2 linked regions of the Saccharomyces cerevisiae S288C genome follow. The protein of the gene in region 1 interacts with the protein of each later gene in a pairwise test. Each region holds a gene or a part of one and is shown on either strand. Other genes may lie near its edges.

Region 1 (9,242 bases):
ACAGTTTATTATACTAAAACGGCTCACAAGATGTTCCTTAAAGAGAATCGTCTCAATTTCACGAAATACTTTGATTTGATATCAGATTCAATAGTCTTCACACAGTTAGGCTGCAGGCTAATGCAACATGAAATTAAAGCCAAAAGTTGCAGCAAGGAGATTAAGAAGATTTTCAAAGGTCTAATCTCTTCATTGTCAAGGATAAGTATCAATTCTCATTTATATTTCGATTCAGCTTTTCACAGAAAAAAAATGGATACTATGAATGACAAGGATAACGATAATCAGGAAAATAATTGTTCTAGGACGGAAGGGGATGATGGTAAAATTGAAGTAGATAGTGTACATGATCTAGTTTCAGTTCCATTGTCCGGTAAACGTAATGTAAGTACCAGTACAACGGATACATTGACTCCAATGAGATCATCATTCAGTACAGTCAATGAGAACGATATGGAAAATTTCTCAGTCTTAGGTCCAAGAAATAGTGTTAATTCTGTCGTAACACCAAGGACTTCAATACAAAATTCTACTTTGGAAGATTTTTCACCGTCCAACAAAAATTTTAAGTCAGCTAAATCGATTTACGAAATGGTTGATGTGGAATTCTCGAAATTTTTAAGGCATGTTCAGTTACTTTATTTTGTGTTACAGAGCTCAGTCTTCTCAGATGATAATACTTTACCACAGTTGCTCCCAAGATTTTTTAAAGGTTCATTTAGCGGTGGTTCTTGGACAAATCCATTTTCGACTTTTATTACGGATGAATTTGGTAATGCGACAAAGAACAAAGCTGTCACATCTAATGAAGTGACCGCTTCGTCGTCCAAAAATTCCTCAATATCAAGGATTCCACCAAAGATGGCAGATGCTATTGCCTCTGCGTCAGGATATAGCGCTAATTCAGAAACAAATTCCCAAATTGATTTAAAAGCAAGCAGTGCCGCGTCTGGTTCAGTTTTTACACCTTTCAACCGTCCTTCTCATAACAGAACCTTTTCAAGAGCAAGAGTTTCAAAAAGGAAGAAAAAATATCCATTAACTGTAGACACTTTGAATACAATGAAGAAGAAATCCTCGCAAATTTTTGAAAAATTAAATAATGCTACAGGTGAACACTTAAAAATTATAAGTAAACCCAAAAGCAGAATTAGGAATTTGGAAATAAATTCAAGCACATACGAACAAATAAATCAGAATGTTTTACTATTGGAGATACTGGAGAATTTAGATCTGTCAATTTTCATCAATTTGAAAAACCTGATTAAGACACCCAGTATTTTGTTGGATTTGGAAAGCGAGGAATTTTTAGTTCACGCCATGTCTTCGGTCTCCTCAGTACTAACAGAGTTTTTTGATATAAAGCAGGCTTTTCATGACATCGTCATCAGATTAATAATGACAACGCAACAAACGACCTTAGACGACCCGTATTTGTTTTCCTCAATGAGGTCCAATTTCCCTGTCGGACATCATGAACCTTTCAAGAATATCTCTAATACACCTTTGGTCAAGGGCCCCTTCCATAAAAAAAATGAACAATTGGCACTCTCCTTATTTCACGTATTGGTGAGTCAAGATGTGGAGTTCAATAACCTTGAATTTTTAAACAACTCCGACGATTTTAAAGATGCTTGTGAAAAGTATGTCGAGATTTCTAATCTTGCGTGTATTATTGTTGATCAATTGATTGAAGAAAGAGAAAATTTGCTGAACTACGCAGCAAGAATGATGAAGAATAATTTGACTGCAGAACTATTGAAAGGTGAGCAAGAAAAATGGTTTGATATTTATTCCGAGGACTATAGTGATGACGATTCAGAAAATGATGAAGCTATCATCGATGACGAATTAGGATCTGAGGACTATATTGAACGCAAAGCTGCGAACATAGAGAAAAACCTTCCATGGTTTTTAACTTCAGATTATGAAACTAGTCTTGTCTATGACTCAAGAGGAAAAATTCGTGGCGGGACAAAAGAGGCACTGATTGAACATTTAACCAGTCATGAACTTGTTGATGCGGCTTTCAATGTTACAATGTTAATAACTTTCAGAAGTATATTAACCACAAGAGAGTTTTTTTATGCCCTGATTTACAGGTACAACTTGTATCCTCCTGAAGGGCTGAGTTACGATGATTACAATATTTGGATAGAAAAAAAGTCAAACCCGATTAAATGCCGTGTGGTCAACATTATGAGAACATTTTTGACGCAGTATTGGACAAGAAATTATTATGAACCTGGCATACCACTGATTCTAAATTTTGCCAAGATGGTTGTATCGGAGAAAATACCGGGGGCAGAGGATCTTTTGCAAAAGATAAATGAAAAACTGATAAATGAGAATGAGAAAGAACCAGTGGATCCTAAGCAACAAGATTCGGTATCGGCAGTCGTACAGACAACTAAACGTGACAATAAATCACCGATACACATGTCTTCGTCTTCTTTACCATCTTCTGCTTCTTCAGCGTTTTTTAGATTGAAGAAATTGAAGCTCTTGGATATTGACCCATACACATATGCCACACAATTGACTGTACTTGAACATGACTTATACCTCAGGATCACTATGTTTGAATGCTTGGATAGGGCATGGGGTACCAAGTATTGTAATATGGGTGGTTCTCCGAACATTACGAAATTTATAGCTAATGCTAATACGCTAACTAATTTTGTTTCTCATACCATTGTAAAACAGGCAGATGTCAAGACACGTTCAAAATTAACGCAATATTTTGTTACCGTTGCCCAGCATTGTAAAGAGTTGAATAATTTTTCTTCAATGACTGCCATAGTGTCCGCTTTGTATTCCTCCCCAATCTACCGACTGAAAAAGACATGGGATTTAGTTTCCACTGAGTCGAAGGACCTTCTGAAGAACCTAAACAACCTTATGGATTCCAAGAGAAATTTTGTGAAGTATAGAGAGCTGTTGCGATCCGTGACGGACGTTGCATGTGTTCCCTTTTTTGGTGTATACCTATCTGATTTAACATTTACGTTTGTCGGAAACCCAGATTTTCTTCACAATTCAACCAACATAATAAACTTCAGCAAGAGGACTAAAATCGCAAATATAGTGGAGGAAATTATAAGCTTTAAAAGATTCCATTACAAGCTGAAACGATTGGATGATATTCAGACCGTTATAGAAGCGTCTTTGGAAAATGTCCCCCACATTGAAAAGCAGTATCAATTATCACTGCAAGTGGAACCGAGATCAGGAAACACCAAAGGCAGTACGCATGCTTCTTCTGCTAGCGGTACAAAAACTGCAAAATTCCTAAGTGAATTTACAGATGATAAAAATGGCAATTTTTTGAAGCTAGGTAAGAAAAAACCTCCTTCTAGGTTATTTCGATAAAAGTTTATACAATTTGCTAATCAAGAAGAACCTTAGCTTTATGTTTGATTGCTACACTCTATTATTTAAGATGGCTGCTTTTACTTAATATTCTTCGTGATAATACTGTACTGGTGGAGTGTTTTTCGTTTTCGAGGATTTGAGAGTACGCTTCATTTGCAGTTCTTCTTGATAAAGTTCGTTTTATATATATATATCTATTTTATATCTTTATATATTTTATTACACCCAGTTAAGTTATCGATCCAAGATTTTAAATGCCCGATTAGAGGAAACTTATTACCTGAAAAAATATCAATTAGTGATTCTATGAAAAGCTATTACCCGCATTCTCATAGTTCGGATTTTCAGATCCAGCAATATAAGAGAACCAAATGTAGCAGAAACGTCAAATAGTAAGCAACAGGAGTTACATTTGAGGTGATTTTAACTTAGGGAAACATTTGCTGATTCAATGTTCAAACAGCTGTCACAAATTGGTAAGAATCTTACCGATGAATTAGCGAAGGGCTTAGCCGATGATATGAGCCCTACCCCGTCAGAACAACAAATCGAAGATGATAAGAGTGGCTTGCCAAAAGAAATACAAGCTAAATTAAGAAAATTTGAGAAATATGAACAAAAATACCCTTTGCTACTCTCCGCATACAAAAATGAAAAATTAAAGTCAGAGAAGTTAGAGGCTGTTGAAAAGATTTTAGCGGAAAATACACCCATATCTAATATTGACGACGCAGTGGATACGTTGCCAGCTTTTTTCCAGGATTTAAACAACAAAAATAACCTATTGAATGATGAGATCAAGAGATTAACTAAGCAGAACTCGGAAATTCCAGAAAGCGCCTCTAGTGAAACTCTGAAGGATAAAGAAGAGGAATTTTTGAAAAAAGAGCAAAATTATAAAAATGACATAGACGATCTAAAAAAAAAAATGGAAGCTTTAAACATAGAATTGGATACTGTACAAAAAGAAAAAAATGATACTGTTTCAGGTTTGAGAGAAAAAATAGTTGCACTGGAAAATATACTAAAGGAAGAAAGGGAGGCCAAAAAACAGAAAGAAGAAGTATCTATATCCGAACTGAAGGAAGAATTGGCTATAAAGAACCATTCTCTCGAGGACAGTCGAATGAAGATAACCGAATTGGAGCAAAATTTGTCTTCGAAAAGTACTATAATGGAGGAAAAGTCCTCAGAGTTGGCAGAACTAAATATTACTTTAAAAGAGAAAGAGCGCAAGCTGAGTGAATTGGAAAAAAAAATGAAGGAGTTACCGAAGGCGATATCTCATCAAAATGTAGGAAACAATAACAGAAGGAAAAAGAATAGAAACAAGGGAAAGAAAAATAAGGGAGGCATAACTACGGGTGATATCAGTGAAGAGGAAACGGTCGATAACTCAATCAATACTGAAGAATATGATAAGCTTAAAGAAAATTTGCAAGAATTACAAGAAAAATATAAAGATTGTGAAGATTGGAAGCAAAAGTATGAAGATATAGAAGCAGAACTAAAAGATGCTAAAGAATTGGAAAACTCACAGCTCGAAAAATCAGCAAAGGAGCTGGAAACCCTTAACACCGAGTTGATCGATACCAAGAAGTCATTGAAAGAAAAAAATTCGGAGCTAGAGGAGGTGAGAGATATGCTGAGGACTGTAGGCAATGAGCTTGTGGACGCAAAAGATGAGATTAAAGAGTCTTCGAGTAAACAAAATGAAGAAGTGAAAACCGTTAAGCTGGAGCTCGATGATTTACGCCATAAAAATGCAACGATGATCGAGGCCTACGAAGCTAAAAATACTGAGTTGAGAAGTAAGATAGAGTTATTGAGCAAGAAAGTAGAGCATCTGAAGAATTTATGTACAGAAAAGGAGAAAGAGCAGACTACATCGCAGAACAAGGTAGCCAAATTAAATGAGGAGATATCTCAACTTACCTACGAAAAATCAAACATAACAAAGGAGCTTACTTCTTTAAGAACCTCTTATAAACAAAAGGAAAAAACTGTGAGTTACTTGGAGGAACAAGTTAAACAATTTAGTGAGCAAAAGGACGTGGCTGAAAAATCCACAGAACAGCTGAGAAAAGATCATGCTAAAATTTCTAACAGATTAGACTTATTAAAAAAGGAAAATGAGACACTGCATAATGATATCGCAAAGAATTCTAATTCCTACGAGGAGTATTTGAAAGAAAATGGTAAATTATCGGAAAGATTGAATATTTTGCAAGAAAAATACAATACCTTGCAAAATGTAAAAAGTAATTCGAATGAACACATAGATTCTATCAAAAGACAATGTGAGGAACTAAATGTCAAGTTGAAGGAATCTACAAAAAAAATTTTATCTTTAGAAGATGAACTAAATGAATATGCTAATATTGTTCAAGACAAAACCAGAGAAGCTAACACATTGAGAAGGTTAGTTTCGGACAGTCAGACAGATGATTCGAGCAAACAAAAAGAGTTGGAGAATAAATTGGCCTATTTAACGGATGAAAAGAATAAATTGGAAGCAGAATTAGACTTACAAACATCCAGAAAGGCCACTGAATTACAAGAGTGGAAGCATACAGTAACTGAGCTGAAATCGGAAATACACGCTTTAAAGCTTCGTGAAGAGGGACTAAAATCAGAGGTTGACGCATTGAAACATGTTAACAATGACATCAAAAGGAAGACTCAAGCCACTTCAGATGATTCCGATCAGTTGGAACAGATCACATCTAATTTAAAACTCTCATTGTCTAAGGCTGATGAAAAGAATTTTGAGCTACAGTCTGCCAATGAGAAACTTCTGAATTTAAATAACGAACTTAACAAGAAATTTGATCGATTACTAAAAAATTATCGTTCATTGTCCTCTCAATTGAATGCTTTAAAGGAAAGACAATACAGTGACAAGTCAGGAAGAGTTAGTAGGTCTGGTTCTATCGGTACTCTAGCTAACGCGAATATTGATTCCTCACCAGCGAATAACTCTAATCCAACTAAATTAGAGAAGATACGATCATCAAGTTCATTGGAGTTAGACTCTGAGAAAAATGAAAAAATTGCATATATAAAAAATGTTTTGTTGGGATTTTTGGAGCACAAGGAACAACGGAACCAATTACTTCCTGTAATTTCTATGTTGTTACAACTGGACAGTACTGATGAAAAAAGACTGGTTATGTCTCTGAAGTAAAAATGTAGCTGAAAGCAGAAGATACGTATATATTGAAACAGTTTTTTTCTTCCTGAAATATATCAAGAAGTTGCTGCATGTCTATATATAAAATACTAAAGCAATTTCTTTTTAAATTGTAATTTAATTCTTCCTTATTTTCTTCAATTCCCTGAAAATTAGGACAAGAATTCTTTTATGTAATCAATTCCGCCGACACAATGAGAAACTGTTGATTGATCATCACCTATCAACTTATTTATTTTAATGGCAAGATCGACAGTTTTTTCCGTTGAATCGTGTTCTAATATTAATCCGGTTCCTGACTTGTTCCAGTTTATTACATTTTGAAGAATTTCTTGTTCAGTTATGACAGAATCATTGAGAAGGAGGCTCCAATCAAAAGTATCGTGATCCCATAAGACGGCTTGTAAGCCAAATTGCCTTGTTATTGCTCTTACTCTATTATCTATTCCGCCATATGGAGGTCTGAACCATTTGGGGGTATGGTTGCCAGTAGCATTCATCGCCCAGATGGACCATTCAATTTGAGCTATAATTTTTTCATTCGATACATTTGGCAAATATACGTGAGACCAGGTATGTGAGCCGATTAAGTGTCCCTCCTTTTGCATTCTTTGATAGATATCTGGATGTTGAACTATATTGACACCTAAATTGAAGAAGGTGGAATTATGCTTCAACCGGTCCAATAATTTAGTAGTGGAAGCAGAAGGACCATCGTCAAATGTCTGGGAAAGTTTGGAACATGTGTACACATCATCGTGTTCGGTGCAGTGATGGCAATCGAAAGAGCACGAGTCCCTTGGAACACTGTCGCAATGGTTTTGATCATATTCCTTATAATCTGGAATTTGACTGAAATCAATGAAATCTAAAGGTATATAAGGTGGATCTAACCCAGGCCATTCTTTTAACCCGGTAAATGCACTAAGCCAATCCGGAAAAGGCGTTTTTGTAGCTGCCCTTTCCAATACAGGAAATTGAAAGTCTATCTGCTTTAAATCTTCCCTATTAGCTTCCGCGTGAACAAATTGCCCCAGACAGGAAAGTGCAATAATACATTGCAAATCAATTGTATTTAGTTGTATTCTCATTTTCAATTGCCGATCCGTAGAAATAATAACAACTCTTTTGCAGTTTGTTTACCCACTGTGGGTTTTTGATAAATAATAGAGGATTACTGAAGGAGAGAGAATATTTTAAATGGATTTTGATAATACTACAAAAGAATAGCCAGTAATTTTTGCGTTGCGTCACAAAATCAAATATCTAGTTTGTTCCCTGACGCATGTTTCTCATGTGTTACCCGTCCTTTTGTAACCTTCACTGCTACAGCCGTACTATGTGGCATTTATGGGTTAATAGAAAGTTCCATTAATCCGACATTAAAATTGGATGGATTAATGGAGAACACAAAGGCAAAAAAACAATGGAAGAACAAAGAAAATTTAGCGGAAGTAAAAATAACAGCCGAAAGCCAAATTCAGGCTTATCTTGCCTACTCTTTCTTTTATCGAATTCCTTTAGGCCGTTGCAATAGAAAAGTAATAAAAACGCATATACGTAAGTTGTAGTCAGTGTAATTGCAATCTATTATGCGCATCAGGTGCGCATACTACATCCATTGGTGCACAAAAAAAGGAACGCAGACAAGAAAATTATTCAGTTTGCTGTTCGTGATGAGCCATCCCTGAATATGACTAATGTTAATGTTCAATTTGGGATCTTATTTTTTTTTGTGCAGTAATAAGAATCTTTGAAAAAAAACTATATAAGCCTATATAGTTTGTAAGATATAAGACAAAACACACCTGCTTTTCCACTACACATTTTCGTTATTATATAAAAAAGACAGCCAAGTATACTTGTCAACAAAATAAACTCATAGCAATTACACTATAAAAACAATAGCATCAAAAATGTCACTAAGAAACATATCAATGATCACAAAAAATTTGCAAACAACTGCCAAGTGTTATGTCCCAAAAAGTTCACCTACATCAACAACTATTCCGGTTATAAGGGATGCTAGTACTACTCAATGTCGCAGAATAACTACCGTCATCAATATTACGAGTCTGAAAGGATATTCTCCATCTCCAAGAACAGTTCATGATAAGCCAATTGTTATTTGCACTGACAACGAAGAGGTAGAGACTGTATCGGAGCACGTAAAAGTATAATTTGAATTAATCTACTCTTAACACTGTTCAAATGTACGTGTAACGTTTTGACGCTAAAAGATTCTAAAAAATTACTTTTTAAAGTTATACCCTCTGACTTTATGTGACATCAGCATCCTAAGTACCTACCGTTCATAATTTGACGCTTTTCCTTATACATTCAAGCATCGATATATATGATTTTTATATATGTCCTCTATTCTAATACATACTTTTTTACTTTTGAAATAACAAAATATTCTTTTTATTTTTGCGAGTTGAATAATTAAATAAGAGATCAAAGATATATAGAGAGAAACTTTATTTCTCGGAAATCTTACTTCTAGTCGTAGCGTTCGATGTAGTCTGTATCACCAATACATTCTGCAATTGTCAATTGGTCACTACCAATAAGTTCGTTGATTTTAATAGCAACCTCAACTGTTCTTCGTGCACCATCGTGCTCTAAGATCAAACCTTTCCGTTTTCCCTTCCAAGTATTTATGTCCATAAGT
Region 2 (6,325 bases), on another chromosome or scaffold:
ACAGTGCTTTAGAAACACAAACAAAGGAGGTATATAGAAGTTGCAGTTGCTAGAGTTTGTTTTCTTACCTAATTCTAGATCAATTCTTTTTTCTGAAAAAAAAAAATGGCTACTGCGTTATATACTGCAAACGATTTCATATTAATCTCGTTGCCTCAAAATGCTCAACCTGTTACCGCCCCTGGCTCCAAAACTGATTCATGGTTCAATGAGACCTTAATCGGGGGTAGGGCATTTGTTTCTGATTTCAAAATTCCCGAATTCAAAATTGGCTCTTTAGACACATTGATAGTTGAATCGGAAGAACTGTCTAAAGTAGATAACCAAATTGGGGCTTCTATTGGCAAAATCATTGAAATTCTTCAAGGCCTCAACGAGACCAGCACCAATGCTTACAGGACTTTACCTATCAATAATATGCCAGTTCCTGAATACTTGGAAAATTTTCAATGGCAAACCAGAAAGTTCAAGTTAGATAAGTCTATCAAAGATTTGATAACATTGATTTCTAATGAATCTTCTCAATTAGACGCCGACGTCAGAGCTACTTATGCAAATTACAACAGCGCTAAAACTAACTTGGCTGCTGCTGAGAGAAAGAAGACGGGTGACCTTTCTGTCAGATCCTTGCATGATATTGTCAAGCCCGAAGACTTCGTTCTTAATTCTGAACATTTAACTACTGTTCTAGTAGCAGTTCCCAAAAGTTTAAAATCCGATTTCGAAAAATCGTACGAAACTTTATCCAAGAACGTTGTACCAGCATCTGCCAGCGTGATTGCAGAGGATGCTGAGTATGTTTTGTTCAATGTTCATTTGTTCAAGAAAAACGTTCAAGAATTCACAACAGCTGCTAGAGAGAAGAAATTCATTCCTCGTGAATTTAACTACTCGGAGGAATTAATTGACCAGTTGAAAAAAGAGCATGACTCTGCTGCCAGTTTAGAACAATCTTTGCGCGTCCAGTTGGTAAGATTGGCCAAGACAGCTTATGTCGATGTTTTTATAAATTGGTTCCACATCAAGGCCTTGAGAGTTTACGTGGAATCTGTTTTGCGTTACGGGTTGCCACCTCACTTTAACATCAAGATTATAGCTGTCCCACCAAAGAATCTCTCTAAATGCAAGTCTGAATTAATTGATGCTTTTGGATTTCTTGGTGGCAATGCCTTCATGAAGGATAAAAAAGGGAAAATTAACAAGCAAGATACTTCTCTTCACCAATATGCTTCTCTTGTCGACACAGAGTATGAACCATTTGTGATGTATATAATCAATTTATAATCGATTTATAATACTAACTTAGATTAATATATATTTCTGTTTTTTTTTTAGAATTTTCAACTTTTTTATTCATAGAGATAATACACTGTGATTGTGAATGTTTGAATAGTAATGGAACATAATCCGATAAAATATGCTTTTGATGAACGATTAGACATTTTTCAATTTTGTCGTTGAGTTCCAATCCTTCCTTATTTATGGTTAACAAGGAAAGAGGTGGAAGTTAAAAAAATGGAAATTAAAAAAAAAAAAAAATCAAAAAAAGAAAAATAAAAATAGAAAAATTGGCACGGAAATCTACAGGATTTAGCACTAGTAGGGGGTTTATTAAGCACTACAGGTCGACTTTAAACCAGAAAAAATTATCATTCAGGGTAGGTGCAAACTTGTTAAAATGCACTGGAATATAATTTCGAAAGAGCAAAGTAGCTCTTCTGTATCGTTACCAACTCTAGACAGCAGTGAACCCTGTCACATCGAAGTTATCCTCAGGGCGATACCCGAAAAAGGATTACAAAACAATGAGTCGACCTTCAAAATAGACCCATATGAAAATACTGTGCTATTTCGCACAAACAATCCGTTACATGAGACAACCAAGGAGACCCATTCAACATTTCAATTCGATAAGGTATTCGATGCTAACGCCACTCAAGAAGATGTTCAGAAATTTCTGGTGCATCCAATAATAAATGATGTTTTGAATGGTTATAACGGTACTGTAATAACATATGGACCAAGTTTCAGCGGAAAGTCCTATTCCCTTATTGGATCAAAAGAAAGCGAAGGAATTCTACCGAACATATGCAAGACCTTGTTTGATACGCTAGAAAAAAATGAAGAAACAAAGGGAGATAGTTTTAGCGTAAGTGTTTTGGCATTCGAAATATATATGGAGAAAACGTATGACTTATTGGTACCTTTACCTGAAAGAAAACCATTAAAGCTTCACCGTTCTTCAAGCAAAATGGACTTAGAAATCAAAGATATTTGTCCGGCACATGTCGGATCGTATGAAGACTTAAGAAGCTACATTCAGGCAGTCCAAAACGTCGGCAATAGGATGGCATGTGGCGACAAGACAGAGAGATCAAGATCACACCTAGTTTTTCAATTACACGTAGAACAAAGGAATAGAAAAGATGATATATTAAAAAATAGTTCTTTATATCTGGTTGATTTACACGGGGCAGAGAAGTTCGATAAAAGAACTGAAAGTACGCTATCACAAGATGCGTTAAAAAAATTAAACCAATCTATTGAGGCGTTGAAAAACACTGTGCGGTCCTTGTCAATGAAAGAGCGTGATTCAGCCTACAGCGCAAAAGGATCACATAGTTCTGCTTACCGTGAATCGCAATTAACTGAAGTGTTAAAAGATTCCCTTGGGGGAAATAGGAAAACAAAGGTGATATTGACATGTTTCTTAAGTAATGTTCCAACTACCCTATCAACACTAGAATTTGGTGACAGTATTAGACAGATCAATAACAAGGTTACAGATAACACCACAGGTTTAAATCTGAAAAAAAAAATGGATCTATTTATTCAGGACATGAAAATTAAGGATGATAATTATGTTGCCCAAATTAATATACTAAAGGCTGAAATAGACTCTTTAAAAAGCCTTCACAATAAATCTCTTCCCGAAGACGACGAGAAAAAAATGTTAGAAAATACAAAGAAAGAAAATATCAAACTAAAGCTTCAATTAGACAGTATTACCCAATTATTGAGTAGTTCTACCAATGAAGATCCTAACAATCGTATTGACGAAGAAGTTTCTGAAATATTAACGAAAAGATGCGAACAGATTGCTCAGCTTGAGTTATCTTTTGATCGACAGATGAATTCCAATTCTAAGTTGCAGCAAGAGTTAGAATACAAAAAGTCAAAAGAGGAAGCCTTAGAGTCTATGAACGTTAGGCTACTAGAACAAATTCAGCTTCAGGAAAGAGAGATTCAAGAGCTTTTAACTACTAACGCCATCTTAAAGGGTGAACTAGAAACTCACACTAAACTTACTGAAACACGCAGTGAAAGGATAAAATCTTTGGAAAGTTCTGTCAAAGAGCTTTCTCTTAATAAATCTGCAATCCCATCTCCTAGAAGAGGGTCTATGAGCTCGTCATCAGGAAATACTATGTTGCATATCGAGGAGGGTTCTGAAATATCAAATAGCCCTTGGTCAGCCAATACTTCCTCAAAACCTTTAGTATGGGGCGCGAGAAAGGTTTCTTCTAGCAGTATAGCAACCACTGGATCACAGGAGTCTTTTGTGGCAAGACCGTTCAAGAAGGGATTAAACCTCCATTCGATAAAAGTCACTTCGAGTACTCCAAAAAGTCCCTCTTCTGGAAGCTGACTATAATTAAGTTCGATAATTGTACGATACAACTGTGTAGTATCTTTGTAATTATAATCATGATGATAACGCTAATAATTTGTACGTATAATGCTGACTGAAAGATGTACTTTTCTTCTACCGTTTTTCTTCGGCGGCTATTCGTTTACAATGATTTGGAAAAATGAGAAAAATTGAAAATAAAAAATTCTGCTCGATGAGATGAGATGAGGTTATGATATATATGTAAGAATTCCTCAAGAAGAGGTTGCAAGAGTCTGCAGACATTATCATGGCAGCAAATAGCAATAGTAGAGTTGCATCAAACCATACTTCTAAAAAACAAAAGGTTAGGAGGAATATACATCCATTCACGAATAACACTCGGATTAAAAGAGCTAGTAAAATCGTAAAGTTTAATGATTCAGGCGAGGGCGACCATGTTTCAGACCAACGTTCGAACAAGGAAAATGTCCTTACTTATAAATCTTTGAAAAGTCGGGCAAGCGATTTACTCAAAATGAGAGAAACACTTCCCGTTTACCAACACAAGCGAGAAATAATGTCATATATTGAAAGCAATCCCGTTACCGTCCTTATTGGTGAAACAGGTTCTGGTAAATCAACACAAATTCCGCAATTCGTATTAGAAAAATTATATGATACGAAGAAGCATGGGTCGATTGCTGTAACTCAACCCCGTCGTGTTGCGGCCATCAATTTGGCTACACGTGTTGCTCAAGAACATGGTTGCAAACTGGGTGAACAAGTAGGTTATTCTGTCAGATTTGACAATACGACTACTACAAGAACAAGACTTAAGTATCTGACTGACGGTATGTTACTTAGAGAACTTATGATGAATAGTGACCTTAGAGAATACAGCGTCATCGTTATCGATGAAGCGCATGAAAGAACTGTGCTTACAGATTTGATATTGGGGTTCTTAAAATCCTTGATACAAGGGCCAAGACCTGATTTGAGAATAATTGTTATGTCTGCAACATTGCAAGCCGAAAAATTTAGTGAGTTCTTCAATAATGCCCCAATCTTATTTGTAGAAGGAAGAAAATTTGATGTCAAACAATACTACTTGAAGGCGCCAACAGATGATATAGTAGACGCTGTCATCAGGTGTTGTATACAAATAAACCAAGGTGAAGAACTGGGAGATATCTTATGTTTTTTACCGGGCCAAGAAGAGATTGACAAAGCAGTGACTATAATGGAGAAAATTGCAAAGTATGTTTCAGATGAGGCCCCAGTACCATTAATAGTTCCTTATCCTTTATATGCAGCTCTTCCCGCGGTCCAACAGTCCTTGGTCTTCGCTCCGATAAAGGGTTTCAAGAGAAAAGTCGTCTTTAGTACCAATATTGCAGAAACATCTGTTACCATATCCGGTGTTAAATTTGTCGTTGATTCTGGTCTTCGAAAAGTCAAAGTTTGGAGACATCAGCTGGGATTAGCCACTCTACTTACCGTACCCATTTCTCAGGCAAGTGCGATGCAGAGAAGTGGTCGTGCTGGTAGAGAAAGTGAAGGAAAGAGTTTCAGGCTTTATTGTGAGTCTGATTATGTGAAATTACCTAAACAAAGTGAACCTGAAATAGCCAGAAGTGACGTCACATCTCCTGTGTTAATGTTGAAGAGATATGGTGTTGATGACCTGCTAAACTGGACCTGGTTTGAGAACCCTGGAAAGGAAGCTATAGTAATGGGGCTTCAGGAACTTTATGAATTGGGTGCTCTTGACACTCGTGGAAAGATAACTAAACGGGGTCAACAAATGGCTCTGTTACCGCTACAACCGCATTTAAGTAGTGTCTTAATTAAAGCCAGTGAAGTCGGATGTTTGAGTCAGGTCATTGATATCGTCTCTTGCCTTAGTGTGGAAAATTTACTGTTGAATCCGTCACCAGAAGAAAGAGATGAGGTGAACGAGCGTCGTTTGTCCTTATGCAACGCTGGTAAAAGGTATGGTGACCTTATCATGCTGAAAGAGCTTTTTGATATCTATTTCTACGAACTAGGGAAAAGTCAAGATGCAAGCTCTGAAAGAAATGATTGGTGTAAAGGATTGTGTATTTCGATACGTGGGTTTAAAAATGTAATTCGTGTCAGAGACCAGTTAAGAGTTTATTGTAAGCGTTTGTTTTCTTCAATCAGTGAAGAGGATGAAGAATCCAAAAAGATTGGTGAAGATGGCGAGCTAATTTCGAAAATTTTAAAGTGTTTCTTAACTGGGTTTATCAAGAATACAGCTATAGGGATGCCAGACAGGTCTTATAGAACTGTTTCCACTGGAGAGCCGATAAGCATTCATCCATCATCTATGCTATTTATGAATAAAAGCTGCCCCGGTATAATGTACACGGAGTATGTCTTTACTACGAAGGGATATGCCAGAAATGTTAGTAGGATTGAACTTTCATGGTTACAAGAAGTTGTCACTAATGCAGCCGCTGTAGCAAAGCAAAAAGTTTCTGATTCAAAATAAGTCACCTACTCTTAGCGCATTTTTATTGTATATAAAGGCATTTAATGTAATTTATAGAGCATTATAAATCGTAACAACTACTGCAGTATGAGTTTCATGGATTCATTTCTCAATATCTTATGAATATACACAGGTATATATGTATATTCATGTTAAACGCCTTTCGAATTGTTCGTTGGCTTTTTTTGTGAAATTAT

What was found. The genes of interacting proteins can lie anywhere in the genome.
Region 2: the proteins of IMH1 (region 1) and SMY1 interact in a two-hybrid assay, tested with the Saccharomyces cerevisiae proteins (2 studies listed by BioGRID, with this or other methods).

What each region holds. Positions count from the first base shown.
Region 1 is NC_001144.5:746,354-755,595, reverse strand, and holds IMH1 (Imh1p), read left to right. Parts: upstream 1-3,826; coding exon 3,827-6,562; downstream 6,563-9,242. Other genes in the region: Ras family guanine nucleotide exchange factor CDC25, read left to right, coding at 1-3,372; chitin deacetylase CDA2, read right to left, coding at 6,721-7,659; DPA10 (Dpa10p), read left to right, coding at 8,485-8,748; chitin deacetylase CDA1, read right to left, coding at 9,071-9,242. UniProt on the Saccharomyces cerevisiae protein: Involved in vesicular transport between an endosomal compartment and the Golgi apparatus.
Region 2 is NC_001143.9:284,925-291,249, forward strand, and holds SMY1 (Smy1p), read left to right. Parts: upstream 1-1,678; coding exon 1,679-3,649; downstream 3,650-6,325. Other genes in the region: VMA5 (H(+)-transporting V1 sector ATPase subunit C), read left to right, coding at 106-1,284; DHR2 (RNA helicase), read left to right, coding at 3,921-6,128. UniProt on the Saccharomyces cerevisiae protein: Possible microtubule-based motor that can interact or substitute with myosin 2 (MYO2).